Rhinolophus ferrumequinum: one gene and its partner. The protein of the gene in region 1 binds, or shares a complex with, the protein of each later gene. Links are inferred from orthologs where the notes say so. Each region holds a gene or a part of one and is shown in the gene's direction. Other genes may lie near its edges. The genes, in order: IL22RA2 and IL22.

The links.
Region 2: the proteins of IL22RA2 (region 1) and IL22 are in contact, whole or in part, in a crystal structure (PDB 3G9V), measured with the Homo sapiens proteins. The link is inferred for Rhinolophus ferrumequinum from reciprocal best matches to the Homo sapiens genes IL22RA2 and IL22. Residues at the interface, in NP_443194.1 of Homo sapiens: Lys65, Ile66, Tyr99, Gly100, Gln101, Arg102, Trp104, Gln128, Glu129, Pro130, Tyr132, Met148, Pro150, Arg151, Thr153, Trp155, Trp156, Glu157, Glu200, Pro246, Met247, Leu248, Asp249, Arg250; in NP_065386.1 of Homo sapiens: Phe47, Gln48, Pro50, Thr53, Asn54, Phe57, Met58, Lys61, Ser64, Leu65, Asp67, Asn69, Thr70, Asp71, Val72, Arg73, Leu74, Lys162, Gly165, Glu166, Asp168, Leu169, Met172, Arg175, Asn176.

What each region holds. Positions count from the first base shown.
Region 1 is NC_046286.1:83,245,016-83,252,568, reverse strand, and holds the start of IL22RA2 (interleukin-22 receptor subunit alpha-2), read left to right. Parts: upstream 1-4,465; 5' UTR 4,466-4,617; coding exon 4,618-4,678; intron 4,679-7,553. UniProt on the Homo sapiens protein: Isoform 2 is a receptor for IL22. Binds to IL22, prevents interaction with the functional IL-22R complex and blocks the activity of IL22 (in vitro). May play an important role as an IL22 antagonist in the regulation of inflammatory responses.
Region 2 is NC_046293.1:64,567,942-64,575,888, reverse strand, and holds the start of IL22 (interleukin-22), read left to right. Parts: upstream 1-4,513; coding exon 4,514-4,696; intron 4,697-5,126; coding exon 5,127-5,195; intron 5,196-5,316; coding exon 5,317-5,460; intron 5,461-6,396; coding exon 6,397-6,462; intron 6,463-7,947. UniProt on the Homo sapiens protein: Cytokine that plays a critical role in modulating tissue responses during inflammation. Plays an essential role in the regeneration of epithelial cells to maintain barrier function after injury and for the prevention of further tissue damage.

The sequences.
Region 1 (7,553 bases):
TCATGGAGCTTAAAATATACTAGGGGAGACAGACAGTAAGAATAAAATGAAACATAGCCTATCAAATGATGAGAAGTGTTATGGAGAAATATTAAGCAGATGAAAGGATGGGGACAGCTGGTAGGGAGAAGCGCTGCCATGTTGTGTGGTCATGGAGGAATTCCCTGATAATTTCTGAGCTGAGACATGAAGGAGGTGAGGGAGTAAGCCTGGACATCTCAGGAAAAACAGTCAAGCAGAGGAGACAACTAGTAAAAGTTCATAGTGTGGGGATGTGCCTGTCATGTTTGAGAAATAGCAAAAAGACCTTCCAAGCTAGAGACCTGAGGGTTAGAAGGAGAGTTGTGGGAGATGATTTTAGCATTAATGGGGCCAGATTACTGGGCCTCGTACGTGACTGTAAAACGTTTGACTTTCATTCTGAGAGAAATGGGAAGACACTGGAGGGTTCTAAGCAAAGGCTCTGATCTGTCATTTAAAAGGAACACTTTGCCTAATGCAGAGGACAGTGGCAGAGGCAGGGAGAATGGAAAGGAAGCTATGGCTACAAACCAGGCAAAAAATGATGGTAGCGGGGACCTAAGTAGTTGCAGTTGAGGGGGTGACAGCTGGTTGGATTCTGCTTATGCCATGAAAATCTTTCTAGAGTGGAAACAACGTACAGGCATATGCTAATTCATGGGCACAATGATTAATCATATCCAGCAGGGTTTTCAAGGTCAGTGAAAGACCTTGGTCAAGGACAATCAAAGCAATATTTATAGCATCTTTTAATCAGAATAATATGAGTGAAGAGCAGAGAAAGTTATTCATGAAACCGTAAGTCCCATGAATGGAGATTTTAAAATAATGTGTTAGTGTTCATAGTCTAAAAATTAATCAAAATTAAACTTGATCAGATTGCTCATTGTATTTATTGCCTATATTTGACAAAGAAGTTCCTTTTTAAAATTCAAGTTCATCAACTATTTTGAAATGCATGACAATTATTTCCAGAATGCAGAACTGCTTAAAGGTCATAGGTATTACTCAGCAGAATTATTGAGGGACCAGCAGACACAAAAAGAACAAATAGTTTCCCAGTTTTTGGTGCTACAGGTATATGGTTCTCCAAAGGTCTGAAGGAGAGAACGGTGGTGTTCAAGCTATCATTCATTGTGAAACTTTAAAAAGTTATCCTGTTGCTTACCAAGTTATAGAATAAGGGAAAGGGCCTAGAGCAGAAACCTAGGCCATCTGATCCCAAGGAAGTAGTCCAGGACACCAGTTTTTAAACACTTTTCTAAAGGAGAATAAGGAACATGTGGCCCTTCACTACAAGACCTAGCTGAAGGACGTGATCTCGCTCCAGGAGCACTGGCTCTGCCATCTTGTTTACTACTGCTTGCCTAGCATGGTACCTGGCATACAGCACATGCTCAGTAGATTTGTTTGAGAGACATATGTGGAATATAAAACTGAAAGCAATAAATAAACAAGACAAACAAAAACTCATAGACACAGACAACAGTTTAGTGGTTACCAGAAGGTAAGGGAGGAAGGCGATTGTAGAAGAGGGTAAACGAGGTCAAATATATGGTGATGAAAGGAGAACTGACTCTGCGTGGTGAACACACAGTGCAATATATAGACGATGTATTATAGAATTGTACATTTGAAACCTATATAATTTTATTAACCAATGTCACCCCAATAAATTTAATAAAAAGAATTGATTGATGAATAAACAATGAAAGGAACGAACAGCAGAATCTTCTTTGACATCATTTTATCCATTTATGGAGGGAATATTACAAATGAAGAACAATGCATGGTGATTTTATAGTAGACCTCAGGCCCTGAGATCAGCCCGACCTGATTTTACTCCTGACTTAGTCACTACATGCACTGTAGAGCCTGGTCAGTTTGTCTTGGCCTCTCTCTGTCTCAGTTTCTTTATCTGTTATATCAGGATAATAATACCAATCCTGAGCTTGTTGTGAGGTTTAACCAAGAGACGGCATGGAAAGAAATTAACCCAGTGCCCCACAATTATTAGATCTTACCATTGGTACTGAAGTAGCATTAAAGTTACCAAAAGGAGTTTTATAAAGATGGCATCTTTATAAACTTTAAAAATGTTTTTCTTTTGTTATGAAAAATTTCAAGTATATATACAAAAGCAGACAGCATAAAGAACCTCCATGTACTCAATAACCAGTTCCAACAATTATCAGCTCATGGCCCCCTTCCCCAGCCCCTTGGATTATTTCAAAGAAAATACGAGACATCGTGTTATGTCATCTGTAATATGTCAATATATAGCTCTAAAAAATAAAAAAAGTAATAACCAAAATCCAATGACACACTTAAAAACAAGTAATGATTCATTAATAAGATGAATTATTGGCCTCTTGGAAGCCACAAAGAGAAAAGAAGAGAATCAAGGCCGGAGTTTAGTCAAATTTTCTCCAGACAAAACACAATGGAAGCATCCACTCTTACTGTCAAGGTGGACCCTTCCTGCTGAGGTTTGAGCGGGGTGGGATAGAGGGGAAGGGAGGGAATGAACTTGAAGCCAGAATTTCATTGCTGAAGCAAAGTAGAGCAGGGGTTTCCCCATTTTCTTTAATCTTCTTACTTTCCAAAGCAAATGACATTTTATTTGAAACAATTCTATACAAATTCCTCTGCCTCCAAATTAGTGGGATTTCAGAATTTAGTTTTATCTTTTCATCTCCCTTGAGGCACTGTTGGCAGTGTTGGCTTCTAGTACAGATTATATCACACAATTAATGAGCTCACTGAATGGTAACAACACTGGCTTAGTTTCTGAAATTTCACATAGCACAAAAACTTACACATCTTTGCGAGAACTCATTTCTCGGTATATTCTATGCTCTTCTCCCTTTCCCCCTAATTTCCTCTAACTTTGTTCTACAAAGTCAGTAACTCAGTGAAAAACCTCGATTTCATTCTCTGCTGCTCTACTTATTAAACCTTGAATTAAAATATTTTTCTTTTTATTCTTAACTGGAATTTGGAGCAACTTGATTGCTTCACACAAGAGCTATTGGTGTTGAAGATATTGAACATCAATAGTGAAAACCCAGATTATCACTTCTCCTTTAAAAACCAAGGTGAATGCCATGTCCAGAGTTCAGTGGGCAATATCAGCGAGTAAGTGAAGGATGATGCTGAAAAGGCTAGAAGACAAAGCGCATCAACATGGTGCAAAGGGAACTTAAGATCTACTGCAAGTTTCTTCTCTGAAAACCTACTTTAGTGTATAAGCAATGAACACTTTACTTGGAGGAGATAAAGTCCGAATTCAGAAGTCTGACAGTAGCATGGAGGCAATGGAAAACCTGGTTTTGATGAGTCCCTCCATACTGCTCTGGCAGTATGTCTACTTTCCCGTTTAGCAGTAGGCTTTGGGAAGACAGGGGCAATGCCTACCTTGCTTGCTGCTGTGTCCTTGCTGCTGAGAGCAATGCTTAGCACATGGTACTGCAGCACTTGTTAAATATGATCGCCTAAACGGATGAATGAGCACTGCTCAGTAACCATCGTTATTCCTTACAGAGGCCATTCTACCAAGAACTTGAAAGAGACTACATAGGAGGGAAAAGAAGTCAGAATATATTTCCTCTTTTGAGCTAATGAGCCTCTTTTAAAAAGAATCTTTACGACTTTCTTGTGCTTTAAGGTATAATTCTAGTGCCTCTAAAAACACGTGGTAAATTTTTTTGGTAAGAAAGATGATGTAATGAATCAGGGGCAAACAACAGATGACCTAGTTTGATCCGATTTCCAAGAAGATACGAAAAAGATCTAATGTTTTAGCTCTTTTCCACATCGAAGAATGATTTCTCCACATTCATCCTTTTAAGGACTCACTTCTCCACAACCTTTTAAGGACTCACGTGGTTTGATGCACTCAAAACCTTCATCAGGTTGCTGGGAACTGAGGTGGAAATGGAAAAAGAAGAGGCATTAGCTGAGTAGGGCTTAGGGCCACCATGGATTGGGAAGACAGATAAGTATGGCAGGGAGCCCTGTGGAGAGCCAGAGGATGTGGAGAGTATTAGGTGTGTCAGGGAGGTTAGTCAGGAAGCTTCCAAGAAGAGAGAAAAATAAGAATTAATCAGAGACCCACCTACTTTGAATCACTGTCAGGGGCCTTGACTGTTGCAACTGCCAAACACAGTGCTCAAAATTGTCCCGTCAGCCAAGTCCTGCTGGCTGGCAGCCATCTCTGCCTCCAGGGAGATTACCTGAAGATCTCAAGATCTCGCGTGCTCCATTCGCTCATGTAGGAGCATAATTCCTGCCCCATCCTGCCTCTAGTTTGCCAATCCTCAGTGTTTTGCCTTTCACCACTAAGAAAACCCCGGTCCCAATAAAATCGAGCTTCCACATCAAAGTCACTTACAGTAAATATTTCTTGAAGCAATTCTTCTACTTTCATAGTCTCCCTAAAATAATGAAAGATATTAAGTTAAATTGTATTTGCTTCAAGGAACTATTGGTAACCAAGAGGGATGCTCAAAGTGAAAATGTGAGTTTCCTCTTTTGTCCAGATCTGTGCTCTCACTGAGGGGAACGCTGGCTGTCTGACCAGTCACACGCGCAACCATGACGCGTGAACACTGCTTTCTAGGCTTCCTCATCAGTGTCTCCCTGGCTGGTGTAGTAGGTAAGTGCTTCATTTTTTTTTAATTGCTCACACTTTCATCATCTGAGTGTGTTCAAGGGACTGTTAGAAACGGCACTGGCACTTTGTGAGACTTGGAAAAATTTCAGCTTTCTCCTGTCATGAAATTATCAGCACAGACATGGGGTCGGTTTCTATCTTCAGCCTGAATAACTCCACGTGGACTTACTGAGTAGCTACTAAAGAGGAGGCTCTCTAGTGGGAGCAGAAAACTTCATACAGGACAAATGTACATCTCCGTCTCCTTGGCATTATTTTTCTTTTTTTTTTTTTTTTTTTTTTTTTTTTTGCCTTCAGGGGACATGATAGCACAGTGGGTAAAATCAGTCTCCTAAGTCAGACTGGGTCTGGATTTCAGTTTTGTTCTTTGCTCTTTGGGAAAACTTGGGCAATTGACTTAACCCCCTGTGTCTCCATTTCCTCATCTGTAGAATGGGAATTGCATGTATTATGAGGATTAAATGAATTAATATATGCCAAGTGGTTAGAGCAATGCCTAACCACTTAGAGGCCGTAAATAACATGGGAGAATTTGCTCTTGGTATTCACGGAGAACTCTTCAAAAGCAGAGAACATTTTATCACCCCAACATACCTCCATGTGAGGGGCTAAAGTAACTTTCCCAGGACTGTACAGTTGCCCCGTGAGTGATAACATAAAAACAATTCAAGCCTCCATCTCCCAGAAATGTGTGGATTTGTGTAGACTATGCCTTTGGTAACACCAAGGACTCAATTAGCAAAATACAGCAGGAATTCTCATGCTACCAAAATGATCCTGGCCCTACTTCTTACCGGGCCGATAACCTTGGGCAAGATACACAACTTCTTTAAGTCTCAGCTTTCCTATTGTAAACTATAAGAATAAGAATACCCACCATATTTAGTGGCAGTGGAAAAGAAATAAGATGTAAAGCTTTGAGCACCATTCATGATATATGTCTATTGCTCATCTATGTTCAATGTTCCGTGAACGCCAGCCAGGAGGAGGAGGGAAACAAGGAGGAAAAGGAAGAATATCTTCAGCCTCTAGTTGTTTTGCTTCCTCCATTAGCTCCTCTCTCCTGAGGCTTTGCCCTTGGTTTTCTGTAGTAGGTGACAGGCAGGCTCCGGAATCAGAATTCCCAGGTACAAAATCAGCATCACTATTTGCTGCTGTGCAAGTGCCTTCAGCTCTTCAAGACTTAGTTTTTCAGTCTGTAAGAGGAAGAATGCAATAGTACCTTTTTCATAGACGAGCTGGACAGATTCAATGAATCAATGCAGGTAAAAGACCCGCAGTGTCTGGTACTGAGTGATTTGCTATTATCTTTGATGGTGGTAGCAGTGGTGGTGTTACAAAAACGAAAGAAGAAATCCATAGACAGAGGAGAAAAAGGGCACTGAGCCATCTGTCTGCACAGCAGCAAGTCAACTCTGGCAGGGGCTTTAGGAAATTGTGCTTGTCATCTCCCAAAAAACTCTGGAATTCTTATGTACTAAATATGAGTGGTTAGGTAGTGGTTTTGGTGAGCAAAATCAAGAGTGGCAGTAGACTCTTCCCAAATACACACCACCATTTGATGCACTGAAGGAGGTCCAGAAAATAAAAATAAAAACAAACAAATAACAGTATTAATACTATTTGATTGGTAAAAATAAACACCTAAAGAAACAGCCCCATTCATTAGAAAATGACAAATCTTGAATGTTCAGAGCGGAAATCGTTGATTTAGGAATATTTGCTTCCATCTCAATGATATTTGAGCAAAGACGTGAGGTATGTAGAAATCCAGGGAAAAGTATTCCAGGAAAAGGGAAGGGCTAGTTTGCACACCCTCACATAGAAGCACGAGAAAGAAAATGAGGTCAGGGAAAAGACAGAGATATGCTTCCTGACTTCTCCTGCCCAGCTTCCTACCCCTGATCAGAAACTTTGGAGCCACAGGGGATGCAAAGCTTTACCTGTGCCCACCTTAGGTTTTCAGCTGGGACTCTTTAACAAAAAAAAAAAAAAAAGATTAACAAAAGAAAAACAGTTTGGGAATGCATGCAGCGCACATCACCGGGGAAAATCTAAATGAAGAGTCACTCAAAATGGCAGGTTAGAATCCCACTGATGAGTATGTAGCACCTCCAACAAACACCAATACATTGGTCGAGACATAACAGGACAAATGAAAGCAATTTTAGGCTTCCGAGGGTGGCACACTCTGGAAAAGTAAATACAGAGGATGCCAAAAAAACGTATACACATTTTAAGAAAGGAAAAAAACTGTATTAAAATTGTAATGCTCAATATATACTGATAATAAAAAATGAATACAAGTCACGTTTGACTTCTGCAATTACAAGAGGTGCTCAAAGTGGTTACCATCAGCATAATTTTAATAGTGTTTTTTTTTCTTTCTTAAAATGTGTATAGATTTTTGGGGGGCACCCTCTGTATATGAGAAGAAACTAATGGAGTAAGGCTTGTTTGCAGATTTTTCTGGTGCTGTCTCTGGGCTGAAAAGAGTCCGTCTCCAGAAAAAGGAGAATTTATATCCTGCCTTTAGACAGTAAACTGGGGAAGATAGAAAGAGCTTTTTCTGCTTAATTGTCTTCAGCTCAAAATAATTTTTATGTCAAAGAGGCGTATTTTGGGGTGACATATTTTTACTTCAAACATAGAATAAAATTTTGTCAAAGGTCTCTTCCCTCCATGGGACTAAATGCAAGTGGGGTTGTACCACCTATGTCACATGATCTGAGGAAAAAAGCACAAGCCATGCCAGTGCAAAATTATCCCTTTTCATTCCATGACTGCTGTCGAGACCCTTCTCAGGAACACTAGGCCCCATGGCAGTCTTGGACAGTCTCTCTCGATAGCATGGACC
Region 2 (7,947 bases), on another chromosome or scaffold:
AGTTCATGCTTGGGACCCCCAGTCTCTAGCTTTGTTTTTTGCAGGGTACCTCTATCTCTCCTCTGTACTGACCTTAAAAACAAACAAAAAAAGCTTCATTTTCTCAGAGATGAGCGTCCGAATAGTTTCTTTCTCCAAGTCAACGTGGTAGTCATTCACACCAAGGTGAAAGTGATAACGAACAGAATAAGACTTTCCTTCTGTAAAGTAACTAGGAATTAAAAATAGTACACAAGACTTCAGTGGAGAAAATTTAGAAACATTATCAAGGGTATAAAAAAAGATCCTAAGCAGTAAAGAGATGATGGTAAATGCTCTTGGGTGGAAGGAGTTCATATTATAAAGATGTTAATTCCCCTTAAATTAATCTTTAAATTAAACAATAGCCAAATGAAAGTTTCTGCTGCCTTTTCCCCAGACACTTGACAAGTTTATTACAAATGTATGAAAAATATATATGAAAAATGAAGAATAGCTAAATCAGCCCTGAAAAAAGTAAAGCAAAGAGGGTAGACTTTCCTGTCCAGATATAAAGACACTCTTCATTAACAAAAATATTATGGAACTGGCTCAAGAACAATAAGAAAAAAAAATCAGTGCAACAAAGTAGAGAGCTCAGAGATAGCTATTTATATATGGGAAATTCACATATGAAACATATGATAAAGGACTGTTTAGTGAACTGTATTGGAAAAACTGGCTCACTTTGTGGAGAAAATGAAACTGGCTTCCTACTTTCCATCATGTACAAAAAGGCATTAAAGACTTGATCGTGAAAGGCAAAACCATAGAATAAATAGAAGAAAAGCTAGAAGAATATCTTTGGTACCTAAGGATAGAGAGAGACTTTTTAAACAAAGCCTTGAAAAGTTCAAGCCACATAATGAAAAATGTCTTAAATGACACCCAAATTAAGTTTTCTGTTCAACAAAGGACAAATAGACAAAGTTCATAGAACACAAATTGAGAGAAGAGTTTGTTATGTCTACAACCCCAAAGACAGTAATATTTAAAATATGCAGGGTACTCTTCCAAATTAACAACAACAACAGACAAAAGCCCACAATAACAGTGGGCAACTGATGTAAACAATCAATTCATAAAAGAGGGCAACCCAAGTGGCTACAAATGTGTGAAGAAAAATGCAGATTAAAACAATAATGAGATAATATGTTAAATCCCCAAAAGCTGGCAAAATTAAAGCTGGAAAGTAGCAAGTATGGGTGGGGATGTAAGAAAACTGGAACCTTTCTTCATTGATCTGAGAGAGTAGGTGGATGCTGCTTTTCAAGAGAGCAATCTGGCCATATCTAGTAAAAGCAAATGAACTTATCCCTGTGACCCAGTGGGAGCTACTTCTGGGTAACTATTCCAAAGATATTCTCAAAAATGTCATTAAAATGTCTTGGAAGAGGTTGCTTAGTGATGCAACGTCTGTAGCGTGGGCAATTGGGGGTGATGTAGGTGATCATTAAAGGAGAAATGAGTAAGTAAAATGTGGATACACAATAGAAATGGCATGTTAGCAAAAGGAGCTACACACAGCAACACAGGTAGAGTGTAAGACCGTAGCGCTAAGTGAAAGATTAAGACAGAGAAACATTCAGACAAAATAAAAATACCTACCTGCACTAAACAATATTTTATGTTTTGTGAGGATGCATATATATTCAGAAATGTATATCAAATACATTACAGCAGATGTCTATGACTGGCACAGAGGTGGTGGTGGGTGTTTGGTGTGGAGGGAAGGAGAACAATGAGGGTGGGATCACACAGAGAGAGAGAGAGAGAGAGAGAGAGAGAGAGAGAGAGAGAGAGAACCTTGTATGAAATAATGATCATGAGTGTTGTATGAGGAATATCATGAATATAATACTTTTTACCTGAGTAACTTAAAGTCCCACTTCTCCTGGAGAGATGTGTACTTTAAAAGAATGCATTGTGGATTTCCAAGCACCATCCAATGAGCTGGGAAGTGGTTTTATCATGCAGTCCGTGAGTATTTATTTATTATCTGCTGTGTGCCAGGCACTGTTCTGCGTGCTAGGGCTAGTATAGTTAACAAGACAGAATAGCCTACCTTATGGTTGGCGAATCTGGTTAGCCCTTCCTGGCCCTAGACAGGTAAATTGTTGCATATACGCAAGATCAACCATGGGTACAGTCTGTCTGGGGCCTGGGAGCATGACACTGGGGTTCCCTTTATCTGGGGTTGCTTCTGGGAGATAATTGAAACTTCATAAGGAAACAACTGAAGAGAAGGCCCACTGTGATCTGAAATTACTTTGCACACATACAATGTCTTCAGTTATTTTTTTCCACAGGAACAGTTTTATGTTCTAGCCATAATCTCTTCTAATAGCAACTATTTTTGAGACTTCCTGTATGACTGTTCAGAAATCCTTACACAGCCCCAGAGCAGATTTTCACTTTAGTGGGTTTTGGTCAAGCTCACTAAAACATAAGATCTTAGCTCCATTAACAGTATCTTATGAATTGTTGTTCATCAGGACCATAAAATGAATAATAGTCATGTCGCTGCTATTAAAGACTAGTTTGCAATTTTCTGGGAGTATATTTTTGTTTCACAACTATTTATTCCCTATTCAGGAACAATAATGAAGCCGGCAAGTAGTACTGGGTCAAATCCCAGCTTTAGAGGTACTATAAAGGCAGTCCCCAAATTACCTCCATGCATGTTCCTAAAGATATTTAGTAAATTCTTTAATGTCACAGATCTGTTTATCTGTTCATGCAATATGTTCCTATTGAGTCCTTCTTGTGTGTGCAGTACTGTTCTAAGTGTTGGAGATACAAATATGGAAGAGACAGAGATTTTCCCCTCAATTCAATGACGTCCAAACTAATTTTCCCATGGGAACGAGATTATATATGTTTGTCAGGTTGCCAGGCAAACCAACCAAAGCCTATTTAATCCACAGTGGAGTTAAACTCTAGTGCTGATAAAACATTAGAGAGTTCTGGATAAAAATGGCCATATCTTACATTATAAGAAATTGGATAAAGAAGAGTTTCCTCATCTTGGGCTCATGAACCTTCCCAAGCAAATGTTTGGAAGAGCCCTGGTTAATATTTACTCTTCCCTACCCCTCCTTTTTGCATCATTCTCCGAAGTCCTTCTTCCCCAATGCTCAGTGTCTTCATGCTATTCCCACCCTGTACTGTAACTTCTTACCTAGGTCTGTGCCATCTCAAGAATAAAATGCTCAAAATTCTATAATTATTCACTTTCCTTCTTCCCGTTCATCAACACTCCTGGTTTTTAGTTGTAAGAAGAAAAATTTGATTGAACTAATTTGCACGAATTCACATTCCTTCTTCTAGCAATAGATCAATGCATTTGCTCCCTGCTCACACCCCTTGGAAGGGTTTCCAGTCTAGATTTTAGGTGTTATTTAGAACTCAATGTGTTTTTAATAATTTAAAGTCAACATATAACCACTATCTAGCCAGATTATCTTCTTCAGACATTCACATATATACTAAAGATTATTACAAGATTTTTGGAAATATCATTTGAGACTGTGTGTTGTTTAGAATAAGTGCAGGTGAAAATATCAAGATGAACTACTATATCACTGTATTCTTTACATACTTGCATGTTAAGAAAAATAGTGACCAGATTATTTTACATGAATATTTCCAAACTTCAATTGATATTGATTATAATTCAATGAAAAAAATTTTAAGGTATATTTGTACCTACCATAATTGTTACGATCACGTTTAAAAAGTCACAGAATGGGAGGAAAACCGTGTTTAGATTAGCCAACACTGTGATTTTTAAAATGTAACTTGTTTAGGATTCAGCATATTAAGAAAATGAGATAAAATTATTTTTAAAAGTGGAATTATCTTCAAGCTATCATTACTATTTATTTTAAAGCAGAGGATATAGGACACAGATCCTTATTTCTGGTCACCTCTAAGGAGATAAGAATCTATGAAGCACGGAGAAAAATGAGTCCTTGACCAAAATGCTTACTCAGTTACTATAGGAGATCAAAAAATATCATACTAGATCTGAAATATAGGAAGACAGAGTAATTGTTTTCTTTGAAAAATATGTAGGGTTTAGAAAATTTCTAGGATTTATCTGTAAAAACACCCTCTGGGCCCGAATAGTGACGTTTTAGGGAAATACTTACATATCAAGGTGGGAAGGATAGGAGGTGGCGTTTTGTGGGCTCCTATGGTGGTTAGGTAGTTCTCAGAAGACAGTACTGGAAATTAGATAATTGCTGATGTCATAGTTTTCACAATTTAAAAAAAAAATTGATGTCCTGGGGGCTATAAAAGCAGCAGTTTCTACCTTCTCATCACAAGCACAATCATCGAAACAGGTAAGTGTTTCAGCAAACTCACCATGATTGGTTTGTTTGGTGTGATATTTCATGATACTTAATTTTCTTTCCCTTTTTGTTCTTATTCTCTTGATACCAGGTGTTTCTTCCCTGCCCACCAGTTGCTTGAGTTAGAGTCGTCTGCAATGGCCACCCCGCAGAAATCTGTGAGCTTTTCCCTTATGGGGATTCTGGCTGCCAGTTGTCTTCTCGTTGCTCTGTCGGTGCAGGAAGGAGCAGCTGTGCCTCTTAGGTCTCACTGCAGGCTTGACAAGTCTGACTTCCAGCAGCCTTATATCACCAACTATACCTTCAGGCTGGCTGAGGAGGTACTCATCTCAATCTCTCTCTCTTTTGCATCTTATCTACTTGGAACCCGAATAGTTCTTAAAATTTTCTTCAGAGTAAATTTAAGATTTAAAGAACCCATTGGGTATCTCTACTGGCAGACCAAAGATCATTTTCTTCGTCTCTTCAAAGACTCTTTGGAGATTGGGCTTTACCAGAAGACCTACCATTTTGGCCTTTAAAATACGTACATTGAGGTTTACCCCAAAAGGAGCCATTTAGCAGCCCATCTGGCTATCGATTTTTCCCTTTACTCCTCTGTACGTTATTTTAAACTCAGACATACATCTAAGTTCTTTCTTTAGTCTTCACGGGGCTGCTCTAGGGAGATGGGATAAGGTACATCTCTATTTACAGGCTTTTTTCCTATTTTCTTGAAGTCCGAGCATTTAGTCTTTTCTTTTCTTCCAGGCTAGTATGGCAGATAACAACACAGATGTTCGTCTCATATCTATGGAGAAACTGTTCCGCGGAGTCAAGGTAAGTCAAGTAGTGATGAGTAAGGCACTATGTCAGCCGTGGTTATTTGGAACGATGGTGATGATGGTTTGGGTCTTCTGACTGCCCTGTAATACAACCTCTTCTTCACTTTTGCTTGCAGATGAGCGAGCGCTGCTATGTTATGAAGCAGGTGCTGAACTTTACCATTGAAGAAGCGCTGCTTCCCCAGTCCGATAGATTCCAGCCCTATATGCAGGAGGTGGTGTCCTTCCTGGTGAAGCTCAACAACAAGCTAAGCCAATGTGTAAGTTCTTCTCCCAGCCTAAGATCACCTAGTTACCTGCCTGCCTGCCTCCCTTCTTCCATTTAGAGCCCTTTCCGCCTCCAACAGTCCTTGCCCCCTCCCATGCTGGCAGTCAGAGGAGCCTCAGCAACACCACCATTATAGGAGTCATTTGGAATCAGAGAATATTTGTTTTTGTTTTGATTCCATCACATTTTGAGTTTATTGTGATAGATGGGATCTGAAAGGCAAGTGCATAGAAAGCTCATTTGTCCTTGGGAAAAAGTAACTCAGGTTATGTAGATGAAAAAGGTGTTGGGAGATTTAAGAAAGAATGTCTAGAGTTGGAAATGGGTCTGCCAAGTATAAGTTGATAAAGGGAGGGGATGGGAAAGAGAGAAAAAGGGAAATGGGAAATTTTAATGGTCTGTGGTGGGTGGGCAAAGACTCCTGCCTTTTTGATGTCATAGGAAGTGACAAAATCAAAGGTGTGTGAACTCTACGCCTCTGAACATTTAAAACTATGAGAAAAGTTTTGAGTGAAGTGGGCAGAGCAAAGGGGACTTAGTATTTATTGAGTAAGGCCTATTGTTCATACAAGACATTTTATGTATATTTCTTATTCTGAGCATGCATATTTGGTGAGGTACATTTAGGGCTTTAATCTTGACAGAATTTGCATAAACCACTCCACTCTTTCCACAAACTTAAACCTCAGTAGGAGTTCCCAAAGGTGAAGAGGGGTCCCATGTAAAAGAAATGACTGGATTTTGGTGTCCAAGGGAATTCAAGAGCTCAGAAAATCTAGGTCACTGGTGAAATCTAGGTCATTGCAGGCAAAAATGCTAAGAACTTTAATTTCATGTGAAAGGTGACATACCTCAGTTAGGGACACTGAGGTTCATAGAGCATCGGTACGGCAATGTTGAAACAAATGTTCTGTTTTTCATTTTGTAGCATATCGAAAATGGTGAGCAGCGTATCCACAGAAATGTGCAACATCTGAAGGACACAGTGAAAACGGTATTACTGATAACTGTTTATGCTAAGTCATTGAATAGGATAGAAAAATGTTTTCTTTTTCTTTCATTTCTTTCCTGCCTCAAGTTGTGACACGTTACTCTCCTACCATTGGGTTGACAATTTATGTGCATATGTAGATAGATGTGTCGATATATTTATAAATAAATTTCCAAATTTTGAGAATCATAGAATTCTAGAACTGGCTGGGGTTAGGCCATCTAATCTCATCACCCCATGTTCTGGGGATAGCCAGTGGCAGTCCCAGGGCTAGAATGCATCCACGTCAGCACTCTTCCAACAGCAATATGTATTACTTTTAGTATTTCTTAGGGAAATTTAAGATTCCTACTGATTCATGTAATCTGAAGATGCACTTGTTCAAAACCAGAAAAGGGCCTGGGGGCAAATTTATTTGAAGTGATTTTTGAAGCCATTAATTTGATGATTTAAAACTTGGAGAAATAAACCCAGAACAACCATAACAAAAGAGCTGGATTTGCATATAGGATGAATTTCTGGAATGATTGATACTTATAGTTAATTATCATAATATAATATCCCAAAGCTATTGATTTTAATTTAAAGAAGGAAGACTGAAGAACCCCCAATTTCCTTTATGCAGTTTCAAATAGAATGAAAACATTAACAATGGATTTAGTATAGTGAAATGGAAGTCCAAACTGGAAATCTTTTCTTCCCCTCTCTCTCCTCCTTCCTTTCTAGTCTTCTCCCTATCTCAGTAAATCCCTAATGAACATCTATCTGGTGTAGGATAGTGTGTATTTCCACAGTGAATGATACTGGCATGTGGCCTATTTGGGGCAAAAAAACAACAATAGAAGGTTCAGACTAGCAATTGTGACTCATCCCAAATGCAGAGGAATGATTATTAGCAGCGAAAGTGATGCCCTTGCAGATAGGAACAAGTAAACCTCAGAAACATGAAGGCTTTAGATAGGGGTGTCCAAACTGCGGCCCGCGGGCCAACTGCGGCCCGCAAACCATGTACAATTGGCCCGCAGCAAATTCCAAAAATGTATTTAGTTTACTTAAATAAACCAGGTGAGGCAATCCGTACTTCACCTCGAGTGAGTGGCCCGGCTGTGTGTGTATTTTACCGCATGTGGCCCTGGGTGAAAAACGTTGAAAAAAGTTTGGACACCCCTGCTCTAGACTGATGAAATTTTCAGTAACAAGCATACCCACAATTCCTCCTTTTTGCCATCTTGATTTTTTTATAAAGTATTTCTTCCTGAGCATGATTTAATGACCATGATTGTTTCTTCCTTTGATATATGAGGTGTTTGTAGCTTTTCATTGTAAAGATCAATTCTCTTGTCATAGAACCATTACCTAGATGTAAAGGTATTAGAATGCTATAGCCCTTCTAGTTGGAAAAATTCCTGGTGTCAGTTTACTTTGTTTCTAGAAAAGTGAAGTGAGAGAGAAAAATATGATGTTGATCTGTGTGGGGAAACAGAGATT